Linked DNA regions of Drosophila melanogaster. The protein of the gene in region 2 interacts with the protein of the main gene of each other region in a biochemical or structural test. Each region holds a gene or a part of one and is shown on either strand. Other genes may lie near its edges.

What was found.
Region 1: the proteins of Hr39 (region 2) and rig form a complex in vitro, tested with the Drosophila melanogaster proteins (one study listed by BioGRID).

The regions. Positions count from the first base shown.
Region 1 is NT_033778.4:20,633,218-20,642,648, reverse strand, and holds rig (rigor mortis), read left to right. Parts: upstream 1-1,967; 5' UTR 1,968-2,067; coding exon 2,068-3,499; intron 3,500-3,557; coding exon 3,558-3,870; intron 3,871-3,927; coding exon 3,928-4,090; intron 4,091-4,152; coding exon 4,153-4,306; exon of another isoform or gene 4,307-4,331; coding exon of another isoform or gene 4,332-5,075; intron 5,076-5,134; coding exon of another isoform or gene 5,135-5,484; intron 5,485-5,540; coding exon of another isoform or gene 5,541-6,177; exon of another isoform or gene 6,178-6,257; intron 6,258-6,576; coding exon 6,577-7,469; intron 7,470-7,526; coding exon 7,527-7,692; intron 7,693-7,751; coding exon 7,752-7,902; intron 7,903-7,960; coding exon 7,961-8,218; intron 8,219-8,280; coding exon 8,281-8,458; 3' UTR 8,459-8,773; downstream 8,774-9,431. Other genes in the region: Tcs1 (Threonyl-carbamoyl synthesis 1), read left to right, coding at 1-72; CG11110 (uncharacterized protein), read right to left, coding at 232-653, 719-812; maf-S, read right to left, coding at 1,103-1,483, 1,531-1,563; CG13436 (uncharacterized protein), read right to left, coding at 4,332-5,075, 5,135-5,484, 5,541-6,177. UniProt on the Drosophila melanogaster protein: Component of the survival motor neuron (SMN) complex that catalyzes the assembly of small nuclear ribonucleoproteins (snRNPs), the building blocks of the spliceosome, and thereby plays an important role in the splicing of cellular pre-mRNAs.
Region 2 is NT_033779.5:21,233,898-21,241,744, reverse strand, and holds the start of Hr39 (hormone receptor-like in 39), read right to left. Parts: upstream 4,496-7,847; 5' UTR 4,341-4,495; exon of another isoform or gene 4,325-4,340; intron 3,465-4,324; 5' UTR 3,180-3,464; intron 1-3,179.

The sequences.
Region 1 (9,431 bases), on a different chromosome or scaffold from region 2:
GCCGGCGTGGCTCTCAAGCCGACACTCAGCCTCATGGAGGAGTTCGGCATTCGGGAGCTAAAAATGATGTAGTATAAGAGCTATTCCTTTGGCTTTAACTTTAATTTTTACTTTGGAACATCCTACTTTGCTTTGCATGCGGGAACACAACAAATTGTTTATAAAATATACGGTTCAGTATGTACACAATTGGAACTATCTTGGGCGCAGGCTCTCCGCCAGTTGGTCAGTCTAGTTGTAGTAGTTGCTGGAGTTCTTGGAGGCCTGTATGGGTCTCCGTCGCCGCGGCAGTTCGTTCTCCAGTATTCGCCAGCGTTCCGGTGGCCACACGATGGCCACTGCCCGCGCGGACATCAGGCCCAGGGCGACGGGTCCAAAGGTATTGCTGTCCATGGAGTGGCCTGTGTGATCGCCCTCCACCCAACAATGTCCTTCGGGTACGCGAACGATCTCGTGCTTGTAGCCCAGCGTGGACACGACGTCGCCCTGCAGCCCCACCACGCGCTTGATAATCTTCTGGGCGGGATCCTTGGGTGAAATGAGCGATATTATGTCGCCGCGCTCCACCTGACTGTTGTGGGTGCCCCAGCGCAGCAGGAACACATAGTCCTTTTCATCCGGCACGGGATTGAGAGCGGGCTGCATGGAGATGCCTGCAAAAAGTTGTGGATTAATTAGCGCACACTAACATGGAGCGAATAAACTCCGGACGACTCACCATCCACCCTGGCCACATAACCAACGCAGTCCAGGAAAGTGACGCCAAGTGGCAGAGCGTACAGCAAGGACTTGCCAAAGAACCGAAATGCCATGGATGAACTGGTTGGAGAGCGGAGCTATCGAGATGAATACATAACCACCAGCCTTTTGCCGAGTTCCTTGTGCGCTCCGGATCTTATGACATTCGCAGCGCAGCGCCGACACGGGTTTTGTTTATGCTAAATACAGGGTGCTTCAATAAAGGCGATGCAGAGGTTCTTGAGCAGATTACGTTTATTGAGGAAGGATATTTGCCAGCTATTGTACTTTAGTTACAGGTGTTTTTTTCCGTTTTGGGTTTATTGTAATTTTGACAGAAACAGGAATGTGACTGGGCAATCGTTCAGCAGCCCTCCAGCTCGCTGGGAATGGGTATCTCGTTCTGGATGGCGAACTGCAGCAGCGCCTTGTACTTGTTCTTCCAGTTGGACACCTCGCGGCGCACCTGCTCGTTGTCCTCGTGCATCTGCTCCAGTTCCGTCCACTCGTACGACTTCTTAGTCTCCAGCTCGTCCTTCTGTTCGATTCTCTTGATGCGGCAACTGGCTGCGTATCCGCGATTCTTTAAGGTTCTCCGGCGCTGCTTCATCCGAACGATCTCCTCGCGGTTCAGGCCACGCATCTTGAGGGTCCGATTAAGATCCCTTACCGAAATGCTCACCAAATCGTCATCGGTAATATCCGGAATTGGACATGGCGAAAGTGGTGCCTGAAAATCGCACTTCTATCAGGGTTTTCTTTCTTCTTCGCATATATCTACAAGGTACGTACCAGGGATGACTTTCTCTCGCGCTTTGCTTCCATTGTGGCCGATTGTATTTTATTTTTACGGAGACTTTTAGAATTTGCTAGATTTTTCTACCTTTTTTTTTTGCGTTGTTATTGTGTGTCTTCTTCTTCCTCTCTACCTGCTGGTTGCCATTCACAGGAAATGGATTGCATAGAGTTGGCAGATAGACAAAAAACGTCTGTGGTAAATAGCGGGTAATTTAAATATACTAAAGCTAACGTGATCCCTAGATTTTAGGCTTTGTAGCATAAGGTACTTAGTTATATTTTTAAATTATTTATATAAAGCAGATCCAGATTTTTGTTATAAATACAAGTTCGAAAATAACAAATTTATATTTTAATTATTATCAATTTTAATTAACTGTTAAGTTCCGTGCCTTCCAGGTGGCATCGCTGGCAAAGTTTAAGAAGCTGCCTAACACTAACAGCTTTACAGAAGTTTTTTCCCCGAACGACGCCAACTGTTAGCGGGAAATATTCCTTCATCCTGCAGATGCCAAGTCCTTATTGTTCGCCATGAACTCGCAGGTGATGTACCACAATGTGCCCACACCGCCGGGCAACGTATCTTTGGCGGCCGCTGCTCCCGACGGCGGTTTGCTGTACGCCGGCATTCGCTGCATCAACTACATATCCGCGCCGCCGGCAAACGGAGAGCAGCCCCAAGTGGTGACCATGTCGACGCGGATCAACATACTGGCCCTGGACGTTAGTCCCATGTGGGGCTTGGGCAACGGTGGGCCGACCAAGCCATTCGCCATTGTGGGCGACGATCTAAGCGTTCAGGTGTGGGACTGCGCATTGGGCGAAGCCGTCATCGGGCACAAGGCCCATCAGCACCAGCACGAGGCGCGGGATGTGCGCGTCGTGCACCACACTACCAACTCCGTGCTGATGAGCTACCTGGCCAATGGTAACATTCTATCCATGGACGCCAGTGATCTGGTCATCTATTGTGTGGCATCCAACACCTACTGCCGTCGCTCCACTTTCATCTCGCCCCGAAATCACCAACTCACTATGGTGCGCTGCTCGCCCTACAATGACAATTTGTTCGCTGTGGGAACGGCTATGGGTAATGTGCTGGTCTGCGATCTGCGCAAAATGAACATCGTCTACAAGTTCCACGGCCACAAAGCGCCCATATGCGGCTTAGCCTGGCGGGAGGTGCCTGCTGCCGAGGACGAAAAAACCAATAATCTGGCGTTAAGTGCTGAAGAGTGGCGAAGCCGCAATGGCGGCCAGGAGGAGAAACCCAAGACAAAGCCACCACCACTGACCAAATCGAAGGCAGCCGAATCCGACGACCCTTTCGACATATACAACTTTGATCATCTTGAGTACGAGTTCGGTGCACCTATAGCTGAACGCCGCCGCAAATCTTCAGAGGATTGTGGCGGCGAATTTGTGGGTCTAGAGAAGCCAGCTGGTGCCGCTGTCTTAGATTTCGTTGAGGCCTGCGAGAGTGTGAAAGCCGAACTCTTAGCCAGTCGCCAGGAGGATAAAACGCAGCACGTGGAGGTCACGCTGCATGACTGCGAGCCCACAAAGCCTACGGGTCCCTTAAGTGATGCCAGCACCATTAGCAACAAGAACGATGCCAGCGACTCGACCGAGGGCAGTCTGGAGGTCATCCAGTACAGCTCGTCCAGTGATGATGCCGTGATCGTCGATGGCGAGGCAGCAAAGCCCAAAAGAGAAGTATTGCATCACATCTACCACCAGGCCGAGGTACATGCTTCAGGAACACCGCAGACCAAGTCTGAGCCTCAGAGTAATCTCCAAGTTGTGCCGGCCATCAGCGCGGAGACCATCAGCTTGACATCCGTGAACAGCACCCACTTGGAAACTCTGCTCGTGTCCATTGACGGCGATGAGGTGATGATGATCTGGAATACCAATACGGGAGCGCATGCTGGCAAGAACTACAGCAAAAGCAAGACGGCGGGTAAGTGGAAAGAATCAAACCATTGAAAGCAAGCATTCAACTGGGATCTTTTCTTCAGGCAAGCTTAACAACGTCTACTGGCTGAACAACCATGTCATTGTTTCCCTGAGTCGCCATCAGTTATTCTTTTGGTCCGTGGAGTTCGAGCGCAAGATGCTACGCTACAAGATCAGCAAGGATAAATCACACAGCTGCCATTTGCAAGACATCGTGTCCTTTGCCTGTGACTCCAGCAAAGAGATGATATGGTTGTGCAGAAACAATCGCCAGATTGGAATGATGAATCCTAAAACTGGCCGGATGGCTGACTTTTACGGAACAGTGGCGTTTGGAGTGCGAGCGATGGCCGAGTGTCCAGATGATATGAACAAGTAAGCTAATAAGATAATATGCCATTCGCAAACGTTGCTAAACTGTTTTTCGTTTAGAATCGCTTTGGGTTGTTCGGATCGCCGTGTGGCCTTCTTCGATATATCGAAGCTCACCACCAGCTGCCTGCCCATCGACAGCGTTTATGTGTCCAGCAACGTCTACTGCCTGGCTTGGAGTCCAAACTGCTTGGAACTGGCCTTTGGCACCTTCGACGGAACGGTATGGCTTTGATTTCGTCTATTTTATTGGATATTGAACCTAAATATACAACTCAACAACAGGTGGGCATCCTGGATGTGGAGCGCATGAAAGTAAAGACACACTTACGGACGCCGCACAAAAAAGAAGTCTACTCGCTTGTGTGGCAGGACCACTTTATATACTTTATTGTGAATCGTGTTCTAGGTTTCTTTGATTTAAGAAAATCGAAAATCGGTGAGTATATGTTCTTAGCCGTTCTCTACTTATGTTGCCGACAGTTGTAGGTTTGATTCTGTGCGTTGCGCCTTCCGTAACTAATGTTGGTCTGCGCGTCGTTGGTCTGCTTCTTACGTATATTGGCCAAGTGGATTGTCTCCCGATGATAATCCCACGCATTCCATGTTACGTTTATCCAGTTTGCTGGCGTTAGGTCGTTGGTGACGACCATTTCGGTTTGACACTCAAAATCTGTCTGCTTTGGTGGCTCAACTACCAGATTCTGCAGTTCCTGCTCTATTAGCGCATCGTCCAATTTGAACAGCAGAGCCAGGTTCGCATTGTTGAAAACCACTTTTCTAAAGGCGGCTATGAAAGGCTCAAATCGCAGCTCCGCGAATCGAGCGTATCTTGGGTCCCGGAAACCAAATGTAATGTCCACATTGGAGCACAGCTTTCTGGTCACCTGGGCCGGCATAAGCAGGCCGTTGGTAATGGTCATGGCTAGAGAGCAAAACTCCTTTATATCTGCCTTGTTGAGCTTGCAAAAGTTGCCATCGGTCTGCAACTCCTTCACGGCATCCATGCGTTCCTCAAAGCTGCAGACCTTGGGCTTCTTTATCCGCTTATGAAGCGCCTGCAGCTCGGCAATCGTAGCCTTTGTCAGGGTCATCAAGTCGTCGACGACCAATGCCTCCACCTGCTCCCTCAGCTTGTTTAACTCAACAATGTGGTTCAGGTAGTTGTTCAGATTGCCCCACACCTGAGAGAGGTACACAAAGTGCGGCTGAAAGCGGGAAACGAAATTGGAGAAATTCTCATCTTTTAAATGAATACATCACTTACAAATATAAGCTCCGAATCAATAGCCGTGCGCATGGATAGGGTATCATCAATCTTGCAGATCACGCATTGATATCGCTTATGCTCCACTTCAATTAGGTACACTGTCTTCTGGTAATGTTCGTTCAGAGTCGTCAGACAGCGATGGAGCATAAAGTAGGTCGCCGCAAACTGGTTAAGCCGATCCAAATGTTCGAGGGGCACGCGGTAGGTCAAGGTCTCGTCCTTATGATCTATGTTTATGAGGTCATCCAGTGCCGCCTGGCAAGTGGACTGCATCTTGACCGCCCTTCCCATACTGGCTGCAAATGCGGCTTCCGTGTTCTTCTGGGCCATTTCCAGATCATCGACCACTAAGAAGTATACAGCAGATATGAAATATGAAATGGTTTGCCCTATATGCACATACCGCTTCTAACATTCTCCCGATCTCCATCGGGGCCATCGTTGTTATAGATCACAATGCCGCCCACGGTCGCCGACAAGCGTTGAAGATACTCTAGCCGATGGTACTTCTTCTTCAGGACATAATTCTGTAGGTCACTTCGACCGATGACGCTGTTGAGAGCCTGGGCAGTCAGCTTAAGCAGAACATGATTCTTGGGCGAGCCCAGACTGTAGCAGGCCACTATGAAGACCTGCATCTTTGCGAAGAGCTGGTCCAACTGCACTTTACTGCAAGTCTCGGGATACTGAAGGATATCCTTGATTAGCAGCTGCAGTTCGGTTTGGAACTTTTCCTCGTACTTCTTCTTGACGTATTCAAGGTCTATGGTTACTCCCTTTTTCATTACCCAAGCCATCTTCATGTTGGCCATAGTGCAATCTTTCGAATTGACATAGCTATCCACAATTGTATTCACGAAACCCTCAATGGCACAGGCGGTTGGCTTATTGAGGTCGTACTTCAGGAGACCTTTGCGCCGATCTCTTGCCAGCAAATGAACCATGTAGATGACAAACTCCTTGTCGACCCTGAGATCCAACTGTTTGAAGCGCTTCATAATACGATGACCAATGCTCACTAGAGTTTTGTGTCGCGGCATTTTGGTAAACAGAACAATTTAACCTATTTCGATGAAAGGAAATGTGTAATGTGGTTTGCTTGCTAAGTTTTTGATACGTGTGATATTTGTTGCCCTTGGCTACAGTTTAATCGATTTCATTTTCTTCAAGTAGCACAAATTACTCATGCCATCGAGCTTTTGTTATTCGAGACTTTTAGGCTTGTTTTAATTAATTGTTTCCCACAAATCATTAAAATGATCGCACAATTAGGTGCGGACCTAAAAGACAACAATGGACTTAAAACAAAGAGTTTTTCGTCATTCTGACTAGATTTAATTGTGTTTTAAGTTAATGGATGTATGTATTACTTAAAGGTAAAGCTAGTCAAAGATACATATAAAGTTAATTTAAAATATGCCATTATTATTTTCTTACAGAGCCCACAATTGTGAACTGCATTTCTCGACCCAGTTACCTCAGCATCCGCGATTCTTTCCTTTTTGTTGGCACCGATGATGGACTGCTGCAGATCCATGAGCGCGATTCGGGAATGGAGAAGTCGTGGTCTCCATTTATCCGCCAATCCGCTTTGTTTGCTCGTTATGTGACCGATATCGCCTGGTGCCCGCTGGACAGCAATAAGTTTGCAGTGTCGGGCAACGATAGGTCCGTGTACGTGATGGAGTTTCAGCCCACGGAGCGCAATTGGAAAACGCTTCACACATTTACGGCAAACACAGAGAAGGCGTCGATTACCTCGATGAGATGGAGTCATACCCAGAAGCACTTGCTGCTCACCTTTCATATCGAGGGAAAGGTGTGCCTGTGGAACTGCAATGCGCCAGAGAAGCCACCGCTAACCATCACCTACCACTGCCCCATGTGGTGTGGAATGTTTTTGCCCACCAACGAGAACATCATTATGTGCTCGGGAAAAGCTCTCTCCGTGGAGCTAATTGACATTAAGGACGCGCTGGAAGGCGATGAGAAAAGCATCTGTCCCAAGGTGGATGCTCTGTTAAATGTTAAGTGGGCTAGCAAATCCCTGACCCAGCCATACGCTCCAGTTCTCACAGCGGCTGAAAAGAAACGGCAGCGCCGGGATCAACGCAAAGCAGCGGCTAAGCTCGAAGTTGACGTAGCTAACAAGGATCAAAAGAAAATTCAGGAGTCAGTTACTGCAGTTATTGATAATCCAACCAACGATAAATGTACGCAAGAAACTCCTGTTGAAGAGATGTTGGAAGCGCTTAGCTTGGACAAGGAGCAAAATAATAGAAGTGCCAAAGAATGCCCAAAGTGTAAAGAGCAGTCACCTGACAGTTTCACAGTAAGTTATCCATGTGCTCTTGATTCGACTGAAACCCAATAACATATTTACCAACAGCATAGCCGCACCTGTCTTTACCTTACCCAGAAGGAGCTCAACAAAAGTGCCCTTGAGAAGCTGGCCATTGTTCTTACAGAAGACTCTGCCAAGATCGACAAGTCGGTGCTCATATCGAAGCTGTTCAGCTCAAAAGTGATGGCCAAGGAGCTCATTGCAACCGAGTGTAATTTCACTAACTGACTTATAGTATTTAAAATGCTAACGATAAATGTAATATTTCAGTGACCAATCTGAAGCACTCAAACACCAAAGACATAGCTCCACTTTGCCTGGCCATGTCCACGTTCAAATTACGCGAGGAGCTGGAGCAGCATATAGCCAACAAGACGCTTACCGAACGCCATGTTTCGCTGGCTCCCTCCGTTTCTTTTACGTAAGTTTCTACGTTTTTGTTGTAAATCGGTTTTGTCTTTAGTCTATATTTCTTGCAGACTTTGGCAGGACTGCTGTCGCGCTTATGCCAAGCAGATGGAGGAAAAAGGCTACATCATGCACGCAGCTACGTATCTTTTTAGTCAAGGAATGCAATCGGAAGCCATCAAACTGTTCCTGGCCAATGAATACTATAAGGAGGCCCTTGTACATGCGCGTATTTGCTTGCCAGCAACGGATCCCCTGATCAAGACCGTAATTAACAATTGGCTCGAGCATCTGGAGGGGACGGGTAACTTTGCAGCAGCAGCTCTGATGTAAGTGACTAAAACTAAACTATAGACAAATGTTTAAGCATCCTTTCTGAATCACTTAACAGCTGCGTTCTGGACAATGAGATGCTGCGTGGATACTCCTATCTAAGAAAATACCGCAACTGCACTCCGGAAATTGCCGATCTTATGGACCAAATCAAACGGATTGGCCAGCTGGGCGGCGTTCTAGATGGTTGTGCTCCCAATGAGCCGATCCACAATGGATCTACTGCCGAGCATTAAGCCTTAAATCAACATTTTTGTAAGCGTACTTTTAGCTGAAACTGGCTGTACTAGTGTAACTCATTTGAAATCCCCCGATACAATCATAAAGCTATTATCTATTAGTTAGGCATTTACAAATGTTTTCCATTAATTTGAATAGCCAGAAACTGTGTGGAATTGAAACCGATTTGAGTCGCCTTTGCTATACTTTTATTTTAATTTAATTTACCCTTAAGAAAAGATGAATACAAGATACATATATCAATGGCACAATAGCTAGTAAAACAAACACACACAAATTGAATTTCGAATAAACGAAAAAGCGAGAAAAAGAAACCGCAGCTCCAGTGGGCTTTAATTAGAACAAGCAGCTGTTCCGGCGGCCAGAAACCATCAGTTATCAGGCGTAAAAGCTGGCCCAAACAAAAGTATGACCGTTAGGCCCCATTTTCGTCTGGGCTTTGGCATCACATTATGCAAATGACCGGGTTCCCCAGCCCGCCGACAGCATCACTGCCGCCAGTTGGGAATTAAGTTTTAATTGTTGGAACAAGAGTCAGGGCGACTGAACTTGCTGCACAACAGCAGCAGCAGCGAAAACAAACGAAACCAACAGAAAAATGTAAATCAACAAAACGACACAGGCCAGAGCAAAACTCTAGAGCGCTAGAGCTGGCAAACAAAACTTCGGGCTGTTGTGCTCTTCAGTTGCCAAACAGCCGCCGTAGCCGACGCAGTGGTCGCAGAGTCGTTCGGCGAACCAAGTTCGTTTCCTCAGTCTTTCGAATTTCACTTTTAACCGTTTGCAAGCGCGCCAAGTTGAAGCGTACGCGTACCGTTAGCGCGGCACGTTACGAAGTGAGTGATCCACACACATATATCGACCATTCTCACGTCCGTCAACTCTGACTCTGACTTGACCTGGTGCTGGTGGCCAAACCGTTGTACAATTAAATAACAATCAAATTATAATTGCATGCAAGCACATTTC
Region 2 (7,847 bases):
ATTTTATTCCCTAATATCTATCGATAACCCAGAAAAATTGTGCAATTTCCATTTCCGCATTTCCACTAGAGTAACAGGTATCTGATGATAGTCATGGAACTTGACTATAGCATTCCCTTTTTTTATGTTTAATTACACTTTTTTGTTGGAATAGGATGAAATCTAAGTCATAGTGCGCATGTCTATACATAAATATTTGAATTAAATAATATAATTAAGGATTTAGGAGTGAATGACGTTCGAGAGTCACGAGCCGAGGTGGTAATTCCATTTCTTTCGCAATCCTTTTAGCTGAGTAACGGGTATATAATATTCGATTCGATGAAAAGTCTTTTTGTTACATTAATTTATTTGAGAATCAGAATTTCTGTTTGTGCCATTCGTGCTTGATAAACGCAAATTTTCAATGCACAGTTTACGAAAAAAAAGCGATTATTAATACAATTTTCCTGATGTTCTTATCCAAGGCCTCACAAATTCCAGGTAATATAGATTAATATGATTGATAAGCAATTTAAAACTTATCAACGAGGTAACATTCTTTTTCGGTTGGCTACAAAAGTTCAACAGCAGTCCGAAAATGCTGCCAATAGTTGCACAATCATGAACAACAGTGGGTTGCTGCAAATGCAACCGCAGCAGCAGCAACATTTAGGCAACATGTTTCTCCTCTTTTTTCTTGTCCCCGCTTCACCTTCCACCGCCTGCTGAAAAGTGGCGAGTTAAGACAAGAAATCGGCCAAAGTGATCATGTTTATATAGACATGTATGTATAGACAAACCAAAAACGACAAAGGCTGCATACACACAACGGTTTGCGAACCAACGGCTGCACAGTTGCAGCAATCGAAAAAGTTGCCAGTTGCAAAAATCAAACAAAATGGCACAATAACAACGAAAAGGCAACAGCAACGACAGGCAACTGCAGCAAATGTCTAAAAGCAGCAAGTAAAAACGAATGCATCCAGCCACCCGCGTCTCACTACCCCCACTTCATTATGTAGCTTATTATCAAGAAACTTCAATAAGGCCAATTCGGGACGTCCAATAGGTTTTAATAGTAATTCTAGTAGGTTTTTAATACCAATTCACATTTCACTCAAGACATCACATAGTTAAAAACCTATGCATGCACTCCAAACCGAACCTTGTTGCCGGTAGTTAATTGAATAACTACTAAATAATTATTAAAATTGTAAATTGTAAAAACGACAAGCAATTATATTTGTGTGTTGTCTTGTTCTCTTCGGTTTAGAAAGAGTGGAATGCATATATTTTTTCAAGCTTTTTTTCCCCGGAGTTCTTGGCGAGGTTACAACAAGGTAAACCTGCTGCCATGTTGTATCTTTCAGTTGTATTTTTTACCATAGACAATGGAACAAAGCAAACCCGTTCTCGCTACTTTCGCAGTTTGCCTGCTAGAATAGGAGAAGAATTGTGGTGAGGAGGTCAATGCTGCAATTGTTAACTGCTAATTAGCAGCCAGAGTCAAAGCCAGGGAGAGAAACAGCATGTATCAACTTATGTATTGCAAGAGTGGGTGGTGCACTGCCGAGGGAGAGGCACGGATGGCCGAAGTGGGTATCAAGGCGGTTGGAACACCCGAAGGCATATTCGAAAACCGGTTAACAGCTGGCAGCCAACTGACGAACGAGAAATACATCACCGAATGGGCAAATCTCAAAGACTTTACAAGTTACAGATATTAAGGCGTATGGGTCGGGTTAATATAAATATCTGCATGCACAAAAAGAGTTACCAGAAGCAAAATTTTTTTTTGCAGAATTGGAGACCAGGCTTACCACTCAAGCCCGATAATTTATTGCCTTCTTCCACTCATTGCGTTTGTAAGCATGGGCAAATCCCTACATCAGTTGCCAGTTCTTGTAACCGCGTCTCGACGGCAGAATCGACCGCCTTTAGCCAGAGTTATGACCCCGAAAGCTGTAAATTAACCTTTGAGGCCGCGCACATTTAAAAGGAGTTCAAGAACATAAACCAGCGTCCGCAATGTATAATCCGGAGCCAATCAACTTCCAAACTCGCGGTCAACCTTCGGACAGACTGAATCCCAGCTTACGAAATGAGAAGAGTTGAACGGTAAGAAGGCACGGTAAGAACGGCTGATAGACACAAAAACCGCAAGCGACGCAGTCAAAATAATAATGAGCCCGACATTTAAAATGGTTTATGAGACAGCCCCTTCTGCGGCTCCTCGAAAGCACAAGACTTGGCCCAGCCGCAGCCTCATCAGCAGCGTTGTCAGCCGCAGAATTGGCGATTCTTCGATTTTTCTGGGTCAAGCACCACGCGAAAGCAGAAAGAGCTAAAGACTTGGCCCAAGAAATGTGTGGTAGAGGTAGAGTTCAAAACGTGCCTTGGCCGTACTATTCAGACATGCAGTGCCTTCCCACCCTCTTATTCTCCCTGATCGAGACCGTCTCTGTTTCGTTGTCGAAACAATTTCCGGCGGCTGCACCGAGAAAAATATAACGTGTAACGATGATCGAACAATAAAGACAAGCGAATCTATACAGAGTCAATTCGGAAAGCTTTAAGTTTTCTAGAACCGAACATAACACATGTTTAATTAAAGCCTTTATGGCGTCCTTTTTGCGCTTTCAGAGCTCGGTAGAGTTGAATGTCAATGTAATGAGCCAGCCAAGTTCGGGTCATAAAGCCTCTGCCACATGAAAGTAGTTCAAGTACTCAACGGCGCCGTTACATTTCACTGCTTATGAATTGGGAGTCGCCCGGCCAGACAGTCCGCCAGACGACACTGACTTCCCGATGTGTTAATAATTTTGTTTTGATTTCAGGGATTCGAAAAGCCTACTTTGACTCTGTGGAAGGGGATAAGAAAATATAGCGCTTGAATTGGGCCTCTTGGATCTTTAAATTTAAAGGACAAAGGAATATTAAATCACTTAAAAAATGGTAATTTTTACAGCCCCTATATTGTTGTCCTTAAATACAAATGAAATGAAAGCATATGGTTTATACGATTCGCCCAGTTTTCACGATGTTCCTTTTGAAATCACATCAAGTTATGGGATGGACATCATGGACATCAATTATGGGAACATTTTGTTTTTAAGGAAATGAGATCATCTTACCATTTTAAAATACCTAAAAAATTATGGGAACATTTTGTTTTTAAGGAAAGGAGATTATCTTACCATTTAAAAATAACTAAAAGTATTCCAATTGTCCCTTTCTCAGTCTATCAAGATTTTAATGTATTTCCGTTGCTGTGTTGATAAGATTTGTTACCCAAAAGCCAGTTGGGATTTCACGTTTTACTCGTTTTGTTCGACTCACATTCTAGTCACATTTTCATAGAGAATTCGTTTAATTTGCGTGCACATTATGCGTATAACATTTCTTGTGCAATATGTACCCGACTGGAAGCCACTTGATGCCAATCGAGGAAATTATTGCACGACAAATATCGGATTTTTCACCTGTGAATTAATAACGGTAAATTACTCATCCAGCGTCGCGGCGGGCGCACTTGTATGGGTTAACGAGCGAGCAAGCAAGTCAACGAATTCACAATAAAATAAACAAAATGCAGACGCGAAAAATCGACGAAACTTGTTGGAGCTGAAAACGCGGAAACTGTTGCAAGCGAATCGAAACCAGAAAAACTTTTCTGCACACTCTGTCCAATCAGAACAAACACTCGAACTCTTCTCTCCCACACACACTACACCAGCACTCACACGCACAAGTTCTGCTCTTGCACTTGCCTCTTTCTACTGCTTTCTTTGAGTCTTGGGTTTTATTTTACACGACTGCGGCGCTCTTGTTGCGTTTTCCTCACCTTTCGCAGAGTTTATTGACATTTTCAGCGTTCGCTTTGTGCGCTGCTTTCTTCGTGCGCAATCTCTTTTTTCTCTCGCCAGTCTGTTCGCTCTTTCTCTCTTTCCCTTTCTTCTCTCCGCTCACAACACTTGCTTTTTTGTTTACAATGGAACGCTCGCACACACACACTGGTAAACGGGTCACTCACACGCACACAGAATAACCTTCAATTTTATCTTATTGCGCGCGCCCCAGTCACTCGTTATTCTTAAACTTTGCCGAAATTAGGATTTGCTTTGGTTCGCTGCTGCAGCTTTAAATATCAATCAATGTCTTTGCAATGCTGGTGTGGTTAGAAATCCACATTCACCTCGACGCCTCTTCCACACACCCATACACGCAGCCACGGACGACCTTTGCGGTGCGAGCGAGACGACCCGCCACAAAAAACTCCACTTCCGCTCTCTCGTTCACCCGTTGTGCTGACGGCGAAAAGGTTTTCGAATTAAGTACATACATATATTCTTATTCACTTATTCACGGATTTAACTACATATGCCACTGTAGGCGCTACCACTCTTTTTCGCTCACAGCATGAACGGTGTTTTGCGCTCGAATCCGATTCCACAACCGCTCTAGCGATCACACGACGCAACACAGTCCCGCCTGCGACGAAGTAGCAAAATGTTTGTTTTGTTAGTGGAGCTCTCGGTCTGTTAGCGAGCGTTGCCACCTTTCTGCGAGCTGTTGCTGCACACTGCCACTTTACGAACACAGATCTGATAGCGGGACAAAATACGTCAAGGCAGCGACGGTGGGTTACTAGTGAATTTGGAACGGTGGTCTTACGACGTAATGGTCTTTTATATTTTCATTATTTTTTAAATTGTCGCTCATTTACCAATAAACCTTTTTACTTTTTCCTGATAGTCCGAAGTCAGATCAAATAGGAAGTTTCACAAAAAATTTTCATCCAGAGAAAATACGCCGACGCTATTCGAGTTTTTTGTATTCGTTAACCGGGAAAGAATAGTTCGAATTCGTTCGCACTTTATCGATAGTAGATTGCTATTATGGAGCCCACTTGTAAAATAATTTAATTCCAGACTGATAAAAGCGATCAACTTTTGTTAGTGGTTTAAGTCTATGATAATACTTAGTTCAAATTGTTTCAAAGTAGTCGATAATTTATAATAACAGTTTTAGATGACCTCTAGGAAATAACTAATTACCCACATTCTTCAAGAAGTGTTTTCAATTTGTTCTATAATTAAATAACAGTTGTATTAATTATGTAAATATTGTTACTCATAATACAAATTAAACAATATAAACACACATAAATAAGAGAATTGGAATATTTTGTCTCAGATTAGATTTTCCACACGGGAAATTTAAATCACCACGTTTGGTAATATCGTATCGTTTTATCCTAAACGAAACACGCTTATTAATACATAAGCTAATTGTTTTTATACCCGTTACTCGTAGAGTAATAGGGTTTACTAGATTCGTTGAAAAGTATGTAATAGGCAGAAGGAAGCGTTTCCGGCCATATTAAGTATATATTCTTGATCAGGATAAATAGCGGAGTCGAACTGGTCATGTCCGTCTGTCCATATGAACGTCGAGATATCAGGAACTATAAAAGCTAGAAAGGTTGAGCATCGACTCGGCTTAATAAGAATATATTTTATATCTGTTAGACATTTTATCGGATGAATTGTAACAGGTATAATAAACGATTTCTTATATATCGTCAGACATGTGTGTATATTTTGAACGAAACAACTTAAATTAGTTTGTAATGTTATTTTATAAATTCCATCCTAATAAATATTACTGGATTTGCAATGAGTTCCTTAGAACATATTAGTACTCGTGTTTCACTAACCATGTCCATCAAGCTGACACTGCTATGAATGGGTATGTGTGATGGGTATCTGGTGGACAAGCTCTGATCTAAATGGTGTTGTCCATCCCAATAGCACTGACTTGTCTGTAGTCTAAACTGTGAAACACTCCTTTATTACTGAATTCTAGATAAATGTACATACATATGTATACTACGGAGTGGTTGCGAAATCAGAGGCAATCAGATATTGAAGCAAGTTCAAGTGACATACAATGGAATTGGTCGTGTATAGCCGCCTATAAAGACATTAATAGACGACCCCAAAGCTCTCATTTAAGCTTAGCTTTAGTTTTCGGTAGATACAACTTATTAGTGTCAGAGATATTGAGCTTTGGTCGGCCACTGCATTTACATTATTTATTGCGTAATATTTAAATTGATAAATTGCGCATATATGCTAATGCTAAGTCTTCAATCCATATGTTATATTGTATTTTCACGCATTTTTAGATGAAGAAAACATTCTTGACTCGGATCGACTACGATCCACATTGGCATATGTTTGCCGTGCATAATATGGGTATTCTCCATTTAAATGTCTTTGGATGTGGTTAGCTAATTGGTTAATTAAGTGAGACCGCGGGCAGAAAATATCGACGAAAATACATTTTTGTGCAAGACAAGCCAAGCCACGTTTCTCATTTCGAATCGTGGTTGCTGTGTGAATTTTTTAAAATTGGAATTATTAAAACGGATTACGCCTGTTTTATTTACCATTTGCGGCTCCTTCTTTTTCTGTAACAAAAAAATATGACACTGGTGGTTTAAAGTAGGCTAAGCAAATTCGCGATGCCTCATGAATAGGTTTCGCTTAAGTGACAGATGCTTTCAAATGCAGCATTTTTGCATTGGAAATTAAACCATATGCGAGTCTGCGATTAGTAATATATCAATAAGCAGAGCGCCGGGTGAGGGTCGATCGCAAGCGAAAAATGTTTCAAAATGTTTAAATATTTTTGGAACGTTGTCTTTGTGTACGTATTTCTAAAAGTTAGTTACGTTTAAGTATATGGGTACTTTTCTGAGCCCAGTTATCAATCAAAATGTAGGAATCATATTTTCGTAACTATAGGGGACAATAGCTATTAAACGCTTTAGAGGCTGTTTACAAAACAGTGAGGTGTCACAGTCCCGAAAAATGTTGTCTCACGATTGGGCAAAAATGCCCTTATAATGCCCAATCAGATTCAGCTTCAGCTTGGGTGGTTTCCACTCGACCCATAAGTGGGGTAAGTCCCATTTAATATTCAAAATAATAACCCCACATATGTGTGTATATACGTATATAGGTGTGTGTCCGTATTTACAAGTTTTCTGAGGCTAACGCCAAGCTGGTAATCCTTGAGCGCTTGGTCGAGCATGTAGTTTGGTCATTAGCACCGGCTAATAGTTAAACAAACTGATTTCCGCTAACTGCACCGGCGAACGCATATCAGTTGACCTTTGACATTAGCCGGCAGAGGCCCTTTAATCGCTTCGTGGCCAGCTGCCTCGCATGCAAATGAGTGTTGGCGTGTCCCGTGGCCGCTCGTCGGCGGAGTCTCGCGGCCAAGCTGCCCTATTGACATTGCCAAACCCGTCCAAATCCCCCGATATCAACGAGCGGCTGCCGGCGAACTGTCACGGTCTTAACCCCGCGCTGGGCACTAAAAAATTGCATCGAAGACTGCCCGGGCAGTTGGTCTGCTCGGGTTGGGTTTCTTGTGATAATACATTTTACTGTATTAGCATGAACAGTTTTCCAATATATCGAAAACTCCCCTTGTTTTTCTATGCATCTGGGTGTGGTTTCTTTGTTAGAGCTGTCAGTTAATTATAAAAAGTGTGCTCCCATATGAATGCTTGGTCCAAATAATTTAAAAAAAAATAACAGATCTCAACTTTTGCTTTAAGAAACTAAAATACCCTAAGCAAATAACCTTTAAGTAGAATTTAATGTAGTTTAATTAATTAACGACTTAATCATGTATTAAACAAGGCGAATATTATAGTTTTTTTTTTTTTAATTCTCCCTAAACCATATTCAAAACTTGAAAATTAACGTTTCTTAATGTTAATACGTAAGATCAAAGGGAAAAATAAAATAAATATATCTTTGTTTCGTTTTGATCGCCCAACAGCCGCC